Linked DNA regions of Caenorhabditis elegans. The protein of the gene in region 1 interacts with the protein of each later gene in a pairwise test. Each region holds a gene or a part of one and is shown on either strand. Other genes may lie near its edges. The genes, in order: ztf-3 and ztf-15.

Region 1 (5,718 bases):
CAATTTAATTTATTACGTGAACACAAAATTCTGAGAATGCATACTGCACAACATATTTGACGCGCAAAATATCTCGTAGCGAAAACTACAGTAATCTTTTTATGACTACTCTAGCGCGTGCGCGAAACACGACATCCATGCACAATGTTTTCCAACTCACAAGTTTTACAAACTTATTTCAAAGATGTTAGTCAGTTATACATTACAAGATTGTAGAAACAATATATGCCTAATATTATGCCAGCTAACGTGATATTTTGCGCGTCAAATATGTTGTGCAATACGAATTCCCAGAGTTTACTGTTCCTGTAATAACTAAAGATTAAAAAATTAAAATATTTTCAAATACCGGTCATTAAATGAGTATTGAATGTGGAAGTAAGAAAATTATTAATTTTTGACAAATTTAAACGTAGAGAAACGGAGAGGGAAAAGTTATAAACAGTGTCCAAAAGAAAACAGGTAAACAATACTATTTCCTGTGTGAGTGTCTAGTCTATAGTGTTGAGTGGGTAAGCGATTGAGTGGAAAAGGGATCGTGTGACCCAACTAGAACAGATTACACTTTGTCTCACCAACAATTTAACCGAGATGGATTATACAAGTTCTGAATGATTAATGAACAGTGTCTAGTGATAATCAATTTAGATTACGGAAAAAATAAAACCTTAAACAATAGTTTTTTGGAAGACTATTATCTCGAAAAATTTGAACTATTACGATAACAGTAAATTCTTAAAATGCGTATTGCTCAACATATTTGACGCGCAAAATATCTCGTAGCGAAAACTACAGTAATTCTTCGTAACGTCGATTTACGGGCTCGATTTTCTAAATGAATTTATTTTCGGATAGTTACACCGATATTCCATTTTCCTTCATTTCTTCGTATTATTTTCTCATTTTTTGCTTAATTTTAATATTCTATAGATTAAAGATTATTAAATTTAATTTCGTAAATCGAGCCCGTAAATGGACAAAAGCAATACAGTAATAATTTTAATTTTAAAGATTACTGTAGTTTTCGTTACAAGATATTTTGAAAATATCTAAAAAGCCAATCTGTGGGTGGAGACTATATAAGGATTTTTCTTAATTTTATTAGCAACCTTTAAAGTAAAATTGCCTATTTGAAACTACAGGAAACGTAAACTATCCGAAAAAATGTCCGAAATTATCTCCAGACTCAATCTTTGCAGATTCTAATCCTATAGTTATTCACCTGTGTTTTGAAATTTAGGGAAATTTTCTGACTTGTGACATCATTTTGGTTGAAACTTAGTTACTCAAACTCGGAAAAATTGGAAAATCTGCTTGGAAAGCCACATCTTTTAAATATTTTATTGAAAATTTCAATAAAAAATTGGTCAAAAATTATGAAATTGTTGAAAATTGAAAAATTCCAGTACTATTATGTGAAAAGCAGGGTTTTCAAGTTTTTACAAAAAATGTAACAATTTATATGAAGATATGCAATTTTGCAGAAATTTTGGCACCTTCTTGAATTTAAACTATAAATTGCAAAATATTGGGTATTTTCCAATTAAAAATTTGCGGTTTGGTAAGCATTTTTAGCATTTTTTTTTCATAATTTTAAAAACGAATAAGCGATTTGGAGGGGCAAGAAACAATTTTTAGAGAAAAATTTATGGCTTCATCTCCACTCGGGACGTATATGGATCGAAAACCTAAAAATTGAGAGATTCAGAGAAAAAACGAGAAAAACGCGCAATTTTTATCCATTTTATCTTCTTTTTTCTTCTCTATTCTACTCTCTCCATAACAAAAAAGTCCGCAATTTGTCGTAGGCGTGTACTGCACACGAAACACTGCGTCCGACGACACTTCAGCATCGATTTTGTGCGCAAATATTGCCGTATTTCCATTGGTTTTTCTTCCATCGGAAAATGGGCGAATTCATTGGAAATGAGGAATTTCAGAATTTTATGAAAGCAACCGGATTTATTCAAGAATTCACTAGACGATTATTGGAGCGGAGTTCGAAAAATGTGAGTTTTCAGCGTTAAAAGTTTACGTTTTGCCGAAAAAACCGCTAAAATCCTTAATTTCAAATTTCAGATTATAAAAATCCCGGACAATCTATCAAATGTGAACCAGCTAACGTGTCTTGTCAAACAATTTTTGCGTGAGCAGCAGGATTTGGCCGTGAAAGTGGAGAAAGTTCAGGAAAATCAGAAGAATTTGAGCGATTTTGTCAAAGAGAAACTGACGGTGAGAAGAATTTGATTTAATTAAATTTAAAAAAAAATTTGAAAACCCACCTAGAACATTTACAAAATAAGTTTTCTAAAAATCTCAAAAACATTTTTTTTTCAGAACTGCAATTGCCACGTGCAATTAGATGTAAGAAATCTGCTGGCTAAGGAGATGAAGCTACAGGATTTACGGCAAGACGACGGATTGGTAAGAAAAATTCCAAAAATCAATCAAATTTTTCTGAAAAATTGATTTTTGCTGAATTTTCCTTTTTTTTGCCAGAAGTCAGCGATTTGAAGCAAAAAATGATAAAAATCGCGTTAATTTTCATATTTTAGAGCTGTTTAAATTGCAATTTTTCGGAATTTCTGTTATTTTTGTGTGAAAAAAAAAAAAATTATTTTAACATTTAAATTTGATTTTCAGAAAAAAAAATCTATAAAAGCCTTTCAAAATGAGTTGAAAACCTTCAAAAACCACAAATTGAATGAAAAATCAATCAATAAAAACTACAGTAACCTTCCAGGCGCATGGCTAAATTAAGGCATTTAATGTTTTCGCTGCGAGACCCATCGGCATAAATTAGTGCTCCTCCCTTTAAATACCGTAGTTTTACATTTAAAACAAAAAAAAATTGACAAAAAACTAAATTTTCGCATAAAAACTTGAGAATCAAGCGAAAAATCTAAAAATTAAGCTATAATTTTTCGGAAATTACAATGATAAATTGAAAAATTTAGCAAAAACCTGAGTTTTTGCAGGATTTCTCTATAAAACTGCCATCCACCTCCTCAACTGACTTCACCGTCTCCCTCAATCAAGTAGTCGACGCGGATGCTCAACAACGATTCGACCTGGAACTTCTGAAAATGTTCGGCGCCGGGAATATTCCCCATTTTCAGCCACCACCAGACCTCTATCAGCACCATCACATTCCTCACACGTCACAACAGGTGGCTCAGGAGAATCTAGCAATGTTGGCGAATGTACCAAAATTAGATGACAATAACGCGTATTTCGACACTTTTTCACCGGAAAAATCGGGGAAAAGGGCGAAAAAACGGGCGGCCCCGTCGTCGGCTCACGAGGCCCAGCCCAACAATGGACCTTATAAATGTCGAGACTGCGAGAAAACTTTCCGGCAAAAGCATGGGCTCAATCAACACTTGCTCACTCATGAGACGAATGGAGCATTTGAGTGTGATGGGTGTGGGAAGCGATATTCGAGACAAGAAAGTGTTTATCGACATCAGAGAGTGAGGAAAATTAGTAATAAAAGAGTTATTGGTGGCCTAGGAAGCCAAAAAGTTAGGCCATCGATTTTGTTTTTTTTTTTTGGTTATGGAAAATTAAGAAAATTTTTAAAAAAAGTTGGTGGCCTAGAAACCCAAATTATTGAAAAAAAACTAGGTCATCATCTACTTTTAATTCGATTTTTATAAAAATATGAAATAAAAACGTTATTGGTGGGCTAGAAATCCAAATGTGAAAACTTAAACAAAGTTTCTGTGGCCGAGAAATTGAACTTTTAATAAAGTTCGGCCACCGACTTTTTAAAGCTAAATTTTGGAAAAAAAGCAGGATGTTTGAAGCAAAAAATTATTTTTCGTGGCCTAGAAACCCACATTTTTGGCAATTAGGACATCCGCCTTTTTTGTGGATAAAAAAATTGTCAATAAGGACAAAAAATTTTCGAATAATCACGAAATTTCATAGATCAAGACCCACCATGCGTCTTTAACTTTTGCAAAAAAAAAATTTTTGCAGAGCACCGCCGAATGCTCAAAATATCTTCCGTTGGCTCTAATCAATGGCACGGTCGCCCGAAATCCCGTCGCCACGTGGGATACACCAACTGCTGAAATATTGCAAAAGCATCGCATTCTTTTCGGTTTAGTCAATTTTGATATAGAATTATGAAAAATTCACGCAATTTTGGTTTCTAGGCCACCGAAAAGCTTTTAGTGGCCTAGTAATCCAAGTTTTGAAAAATCTAGGTCACCAAAAAATTTGAAGTTATCAAGGCCATCATGTGGAAACCTAGTCCCCGACCGAGTTTTTTTTTCATATGGAGGCCTAGAAACTCATATCTCGGTCGTCGATGTTTTTACTGGAGATTTCTAGGCCACCAAGTGGGAAACTAGTCCCCAGGTCTTTTTCGAGTAACGCGAGTTGTATACGTTAGCAGTTGAAAAATTGAAGTTTCTCGAAAATTGATAAAAGTATGAATAATTAGGTATACCAAACATTTTTATTTTTGAATATAAATTTTAAAAAAAAGTTCATTTTTTTTAATTTTTAAGAAATTTTTTTTTCAATTTTTTACTTTTTTTTTAAATTTCAGAGCACACCATGCACAAAATACCAGAATCTAACCACTGTGGAACACGATGACACCGGAGCATTATTTTGAATTTTTCTTTAAACTTTCTCCCAATTTTTTTTTCTAGAAACCCCCGCATTTATTTCTTCCAATTTCCTCGCCTTTTTCACATTTATTACGAGTTTTCCGAGAAAGGGTAATCGATATATCGCTAAAATTTCAAATTCCACGTGTTTTAATGTAAATAGGCTGAATTTTTTTTCCGTTTTTCACGAATGTGTAATATTATTTTTTTGTTGTATTTTTTTTGTAAATTTATAAAAAATCAAAGAAATAAAATTTATTTTAGGCACTGTTGAGCAACCTGAGTTGTGGAATAAAAATAAAAATTGGAAAATTAAAATTTCAAAAAAAAAATCGAAATTTTTTTAATTTGCAAAAAACCCGAAAGTGGTGAAAAGAAATGAGAAATTGTAACTGGAATGGTTTTTTTCGTTGAATTGTTGACTAGGATGACACGTGGATACACATATCAGAAGCTGATAAGGTTAACGGAACAGGTGAAGACTTCTGGAGACCGCGGCGGTGAGCCATTTCGGGATCATTTCTGAAAATTAAAAAAATTTCAAACAAACGTTTTTTAAAATTGATTTTCCCTCCAAAATTTCCCCAAAATTTTTAACATTTTGAATTTCGCGCCGAAATTTACCGAAAGTTTTGAGTTTTTGAACTTTGCGCGAAATTTTTCTGAAAAATTTGAAAAATTTTGAATTTCCCGCCGAAATTACACTCCGCCCACTCACTTGATATCGTAGTTTTTGATCATCCAATTCTTATTGATCACAAAAAATCGGAAAATACATCGGAATATCGTGGACTCGGCTCTGGAAAAAAAAGATAATTTATTGATTTTTATGACCGCACGTGCTTCAGGCTTCCATCATATTTTGAAATTCAAGAATTTGCCGAACTATGCCATTTTGACTCGGCCACGGCCGGGGTAGATTTACGGCGTGTCACGGCTCGGTTTTCAATGTAAAACTGAACAAATTTATCCGTGTGGAGTACACGACTTTCCCACGCGTTGTCCGGCAAGCCAATGCCAATGGAGCGCGAAAAATGCAGAGAGAATGGCCAGAAGCCCGTGTGACCGCTAAACTAAAAAAATTCGGCTGAAA
Region 2 (5,862 bases), 7.0 Mb from region 1:
CCCCTGAATAAATTTCCATGGTCCCCACACACAAAACTTCACTTCCCCATTGACCTTCAAAACCTCTCGTCGATTTTCTTCCTCCTGTCCATCATCTTTTTCAGCAGTGCTGCACACACAAATAATTTCTCATAGTTTTGTATTTTCCCCCACATATCTTGTTTATAATCAAGTTTTTCTCAGTTTCCTTTTTCCTAATTGTTAAAGTTTCAGTCTCAATCATATTCTCTCACTCTCTGTTTGAACGATTCGCGCGCCGAGTCTCCGTTGATCTTTAAATTCTGTTGATTTCTCCCGACGCTCCACACGTCTGAAATTGATATAATCTGAAAGTCTCGTTGACATCATAATTCTTTCGATTCTAGCGATCGACCCTCCACATTATCAATCAGTAAACTGCCTTCCAAAAGCCCCAGGCTCTAGAAAATCAAATCAATTCAAAAAACGCAAACGGTGTGTCTGTCATCATCATCATCAACTCTTCTTTTTCAAGAATAAAGTTGTAATTAAGACTCTCTTATGTAAATACAATCTCTTTCTTTCTTTCTTCTTTTCTATTTACTCTGCACAAATGATGATAAGACACCAGGATCTGGCAGGATACTTCACTCAAGTAGTACGGTTTCGCGCTGTGGTTTTTTCCAGGAACTCCCTTTGCTTGGTAAGAATCACAAAACGTTTTCTTCTTGTGGAATGTTGAAGAACGAATAATAGTAAACATGGAGTTTAATTGAAGAAGGTTTAAATCTAGAAGACAGAACGTTCAAAATTTTATTGTCTGAAAAGTAAAGAATAAAGCACAAGGGAGCAGTACATAACATCGTATTAAGAATTATCTACTTTCTCGAGAAATGCGGTTGAATAGGAATGAAAATTTCACTTTCTTCTACGACGAATATTTGTACATTGTCCATGTAATCGTAATTGATGTCTTCTTCCGAATATCTTCTCGTAGTTGTTTCATTTGTAGATCTATTGTTCCTGCAATGCTGGTCATGTTGTAGCATATGTGATATAAATTCATTACATATAAACTTACCATCATATTATGATCATGGAGAGCACGATAGTTTGGAAGGGTTTCAGAACAGTTGTTGCATTGAAACATTTCTTTTCCGTGAGATTCGTGTCGATGTGAGCACAACGCTTGCAGGTTATGAAAGGAGGCGTGGCAATCTCGGCACTGAAATTATAAATTCTCAAACGTTATTTTTTAATTAGGAAAATTAACAAACCGTCCATTTCTCTGGAGTATTCGAATCTAGACGAACACGGGATGTGATTTTTCTCTGCAACGCGGCTCCATTTGTATCGCTCCTGTGATGTTGTCGTAAAGAAGAACTTCCCGGTTGTTGAATATTATCAAATACGTTGCCGTATTGACACGTCTTGCGATGTTCAGACAGAACATTCAAATTTGCAAAAGTTGCTCTGCAGTCAGGGCACTTGAGAACTGATATATTTTGAATATTGAAAAGTCTCTTATCTCGGATCTTGTATGGCTTGAAGCATTCGTGACGGTCAAGAGTGGTTCGATCGATACAGTTTCGGCCACATTGTTGGCAACGGAAGATTGAGTATTCCATACTCATATGACGACGAATCGAACTTAGTGTATTGAACTTTTTCGTGCACACACCACATGTTAGCATTGCAGTCAATCCATGAATTTGCTTCCGATGATGAAGAAGACTTGCAACACCGACACAGAACTTTCCACAGATGGAACACTGAAAACTTATAATGTAAGAACAACATATTTAGAGCTTCAATTTTGTAAAACATAATGATACCTTTGTCAATTTTCAATTTTTCAATTTTTCAATAGAAATCAATTTTTGCCGCAATATTGCAGATACAGCTACAGTAATCCTATTACGTATTCCCTTTTAATACAATCTTATCATATGAATCATTCACTTCAAAATGTTAAATTTACATTCTTTGGTGATAATTTAGATTTTAAGACATGATTACTGAAAGAAGTATGTTAACCAAACAAAAAGATTTAAAAGAAATGAAGTAATCTACCGGAATATTGACCAAATTCCCAGTCGAAGAAGATGAGGATGAAATGGTAGCATCAGCATCTTCGTCATCGTCATTGTCGTCTTCTCTTTCAGGTTCTATACCAAATAAATTGACATCTGGAACCACGCTGATCTCTCCTTCACGTGGTCGTCTGTCCCGCAACGAGTTGACATCCAAATGTACATCAGAAAGAGCTGGAGTAATGTCTGGACAATGCTTCTTGTGATAATCAAACCAATATTCATTTTGATATTTTTTATGACAGTTTGGACAGCTTATGGTTTGATCTAAAAGCGCAGGAGGAAGTGCAGTAGATGAATTACACTTTTCCATGTGGCGTTCGAACCAAAAACTCGAATTGTATCTTCGGTAGCAAACATTGCACTTGAATTCCTGCAAAACAATGTTTATGTCCCATCTCTGACTGAAATTTATTTTTTTTTTGTAAAACAAGAAAAAATAATCTGTTAAATTAGTTTATATTTTCAATTAGTGAAGTTCTCGCAAAAACGTTTCACTAAACATTCTCCACCTGAATTTCGTCCGTTGTTTCCAAGCATTTGGTTCTATGTTTGAGCAACCAATGATAGTGTTGATATTTCTTTCCACATAATACACAAGCGAATTGGAAACGGTCTTCTTTTGATTTTTCATGATTCTCATTAGACAAAACAACGCCACCAAATTCTTCATCTTGAATCTCTTCTTTTATTACTTTTATTTCTTCCGCATTTACACGTCCCGTTCTTCTTCGTTTTTTATCGTCGATTGTTTCATTTTCCTTACATCGATGCTTTTCCAAGTGCCATTTGCTGGCAAACGATGTATTGCAACCGTCACAATGATATACTTTGTATTCTTGACTTAGATGCAAATAGATATGTGTTCGCTTCGAAAACTCTTTTCCACAGAGACCACACATCATCATATCTTTCAGTGAATGTTCTTGATGACGATGATCAAGAAGACAGCGAATGGTTGAAAATTTGGATCCACATATTGAGCACTGAAATTGAAGAATAAAATCATGTTCAGAATGTTATGCTTTAGATTTTGAGAAATTTGATGGTTGGTACACACTTTTAAGTTGTAATAAATAAATCTATAATAGTGATATGGTATAATAGTGATAATAGTGAAGGTTTTTGTTCATTTACAGAGAATGAGATATAGAACTAAAATGAACTAACCGAGCAATTAACAATTGGATCTCCTCCTCTTTTTGTCCAATATTTGGCAGAGGGTTTCGATGTCAAATTACTACGCGACTGCCGGTTTCCTCGTGGGGTCCGTCTTTCTTCGATACTTTCATCGGTTTCATCGCTACTGTCTGACTGATTTAATAGTGTATCAGCACCTTCACAACCATAGTTGTTCAACACGTTTATGTATTGGACGCTGTTGTCCTGAAAATGTTCATTAGAAAATGAATTACAGTTGGTTTTTACACTATGGAAGCGATTATTCCACGAAAATGAGCCATCAGCTTGGTTGTACTGAACTCCGGACGGATTTTCGAATATTGAAAGATATTGCTGGAATTCGAAAATTATACAGCATTTTTACCAAATTTATATTTCAACCTCATCTTGCATTTCATGCTTTGGATCTCTGATTTCAACTTTATTCAATTCCTCTGTGACTTGTGAAGATGTGGATGGCACGTTTTTAGTCTACAACTCTAACTTTATGTTGAGGTTTCAATGAAGATTAAATACCAAAGATGGTCGAAGTGAAGCTTCGTCGAAAATTGCTTTGATATGACGAAGCAATTTTTCATCAGGCATGTCATGATAAAAACTGCCAATTTCATTTTCGACATTTGGTAAAAGCTGAAACTTTTTGCAAAATAAGTTGATTAAACACTAGCGCTCACCACAGTCTGATCTGATTCTTCCATTTTTACAAGAGGATGGCTGGAAAATATTTTAATTGTAATTTTTTCTAAATTCTTTTTTAAATATCACATTTTATGCAAAACGCGAAGAAAACAGTTGATGAAACAAAACGAATGTGCAACTATTTAGATCTAACTGTGATCTATTGCAATACTTCCCTTTAAAGGCGCATCAAATTTCTACCGTGATGGGTCTCGCCGCGCCCAATCTCGAATATCACGTTCAAATTTGGAAAGCTTTCAAAAACTGAAAACTTCGTTTAATTCAATTTGTTTTACCAGAAATAAATTAGATGCACAATTATTAAAGCTCCGAACGAGTTTATTCACATGATATCAATACAAAAGACAATAAAAGAGAGCAATAAGAGCACGAAATACAAATTCATTGTGTTGGGCTACTTTTGGTTGGCGGCAAGATCACAGGCCTCATTGAACTTGGAAACCGCCTGTCGCCATCCCGATGCTTCAAACTTTTCATTCCAGATTTCCGAGAAAGACTTGATCAGGATATTCCAGTCCGGAAGTGAATCACACGAAGGGATGTTGAGGAATCTGTTAATGACATCGTAGCAAGCATCGCGAAGAATGTTGCGCCTCTTGATGTCGACATTTAACGAATAGTCTCCAACGCTAGCTCCAGTCAACTGTGCATACTTTCCTGCAACAACGACAGCCATTGTTGCGGCGAATCCGAAGTAATCGGCTTGGTAAGTCCAAGAACGACCGTCAACCATTTCCGGGCAATCAAACGCTTCTGTTCCTGCTCTTCCCTTGAAACGCTGGTTCTTCAGTGGCATCATGTCAATGGCACGTCCCCAGTCGATAATCTTGATGACAAAGCTGTCGTTACTCATCAGAGCATCTTTGCCCCATTTATCATCGATCCTGAAAAAAGATAACGTCTAAAATTAACAAATGTTTTCCCATACTTTCTGGTGATCATAAAATTATCCGGTTTGATATCTCCATGAATAATTTTAGAGGCATGGACTTCCTTCACAACTCGGGCCATTTGGGTAATCAAGAAGCAGGTTATGTGCCAATTCGGATCCTTCATGTTATTCGCATATTCAAGCAGCGTTCCATATTCGTGGTACTGATTAACAAGAAGCGAAGCAGTTGAATAAACATAAGCATCCATCACTTCCATAATGCAACATTTGGCCATCAGCTCCAAACCTCGATCTTTCAGGCGATTCCGCATTTGGTCGCAAATGTACACTTCCCACGAACATGATGGCACCTCGTACTTCACAGCTACTGTCCTTTGATCATCGGTTACAGCCCGGTATACTTTAGCGTATCCACCTTGACCAATAAGAGTTTGAATGTGGAGCTTTTCTCCGCTAACCTCGCAGTCTCTCAGAGCTTGAATCTTCGGTGCTCGTTCTTGGAACTCGTGCATATTCTGGGGAGGACGCACAAGACACATCAATTTTTTTCGAAGAGTTTCGTCCCATGGATTGATGTCTCCTTGCTTGATAATTTCACTGCGCCGACGAATCTTGCAACCAGTGATTTCAGATTCGTTGTTTTCAGTGAGATTTGGAATTTCATCAGCACCAATTGAAAGACGTCTTCCTAGATTAGCTGTCAAACAATCGATAGATGAATCTTTAGGATCTGATCGTTCAGGCTTTGATGACTCTGTGACTGAGGGCTGAACGGCTTGATTTGCTGCTAGTGACTTTCGACGTGTCTGAAAAAGTTTGAATAGTATGTCGAAAATTTGTCTGGCACTTACTAATTTACTGAAAGTACTGCTGGTTGGAGCAACAAATACTGGAGCTTCCTGTTCGTGAGTGCTTTCCTCCTCTTTATTTCCGAAATATTCATCAATGTTGACCAAATGAACTCCTTGTGCGGGGGTCGATGTGACGAAATTACCACGAGACGGTTTGAAAAAGCCAAACTCGATTTCATCGTCATAA

Evidence for each region.
Region 2: the proteins of ztf-3 (region 1) and ztf-15 interact in a two-hybrid assay, tested with the Caenorhabditis elegans proteins (one large-scale study listed by BioGRID).

The regions. Positions count from the first base shown.
Region 1 is NC_003279.8:285,264-290,981, reverse strand, and holds ztf-3 (C2H2-type domain-containing protein), read left to right. Parts: upstream 1-1,796; 5' UTR 1,797-1,907; coding exon 1,908-2,009; intron 2,010-2,079; coding exon 2,080-2,232; intron 2,233-2,337; coding exon 2,338-2,424; intron 2,425-2,978; coding exon 2,979-3,473; intron 3,474-3,984; coding exon 3,985-4,108; intron 4,109-4,561; coding exon 4,562-4,611; coding exon of another isoform or gene 4,612-4,630; 3' UTR 4,631-4,942; downstream 4,943-5,718. Other genes in the region: marc-4 (RING-CH-type domain-containing protein), read right to left, coding at 5,048-5,147, 5,344-5,424.
Region 2 is NC_003279.8:7,253,596-7,259,457, reverse strand, and holds ztf-15 (C2H2-type domain-containing protein), read right to left. Parts: upstream 3,948-5,862; 5' UTR 3,932-3,947; coding exon 3,908-3,931; intron 3,864-3,907; coding exon 3,750-3,863; intron 3,705-3,749; coding exon 3,615-3,704; intron 3,567-3,614; coding exon 3,480-3,566; intron 3,438-3,479; coding exon 3,222-3,437; intron 3,038-3,221; coding exon 2,564-3,037; intron 2,425-2,563; coding exon 2,032-2,424; intron 1,731-2,031; coding exon 1,236-1,730; intron 1,184-1,235; coding exon 1,040-1,183; intron 990-1,039; coding exon 837-989; 3' UTR 759-836; downstream 1-758. Other genes in the region: Mitotic checkpoint serine/threonine-protein kinase bub-1, read right to left, coding at 4,327-4,816, 4,861-5,630, 5,676-5,862.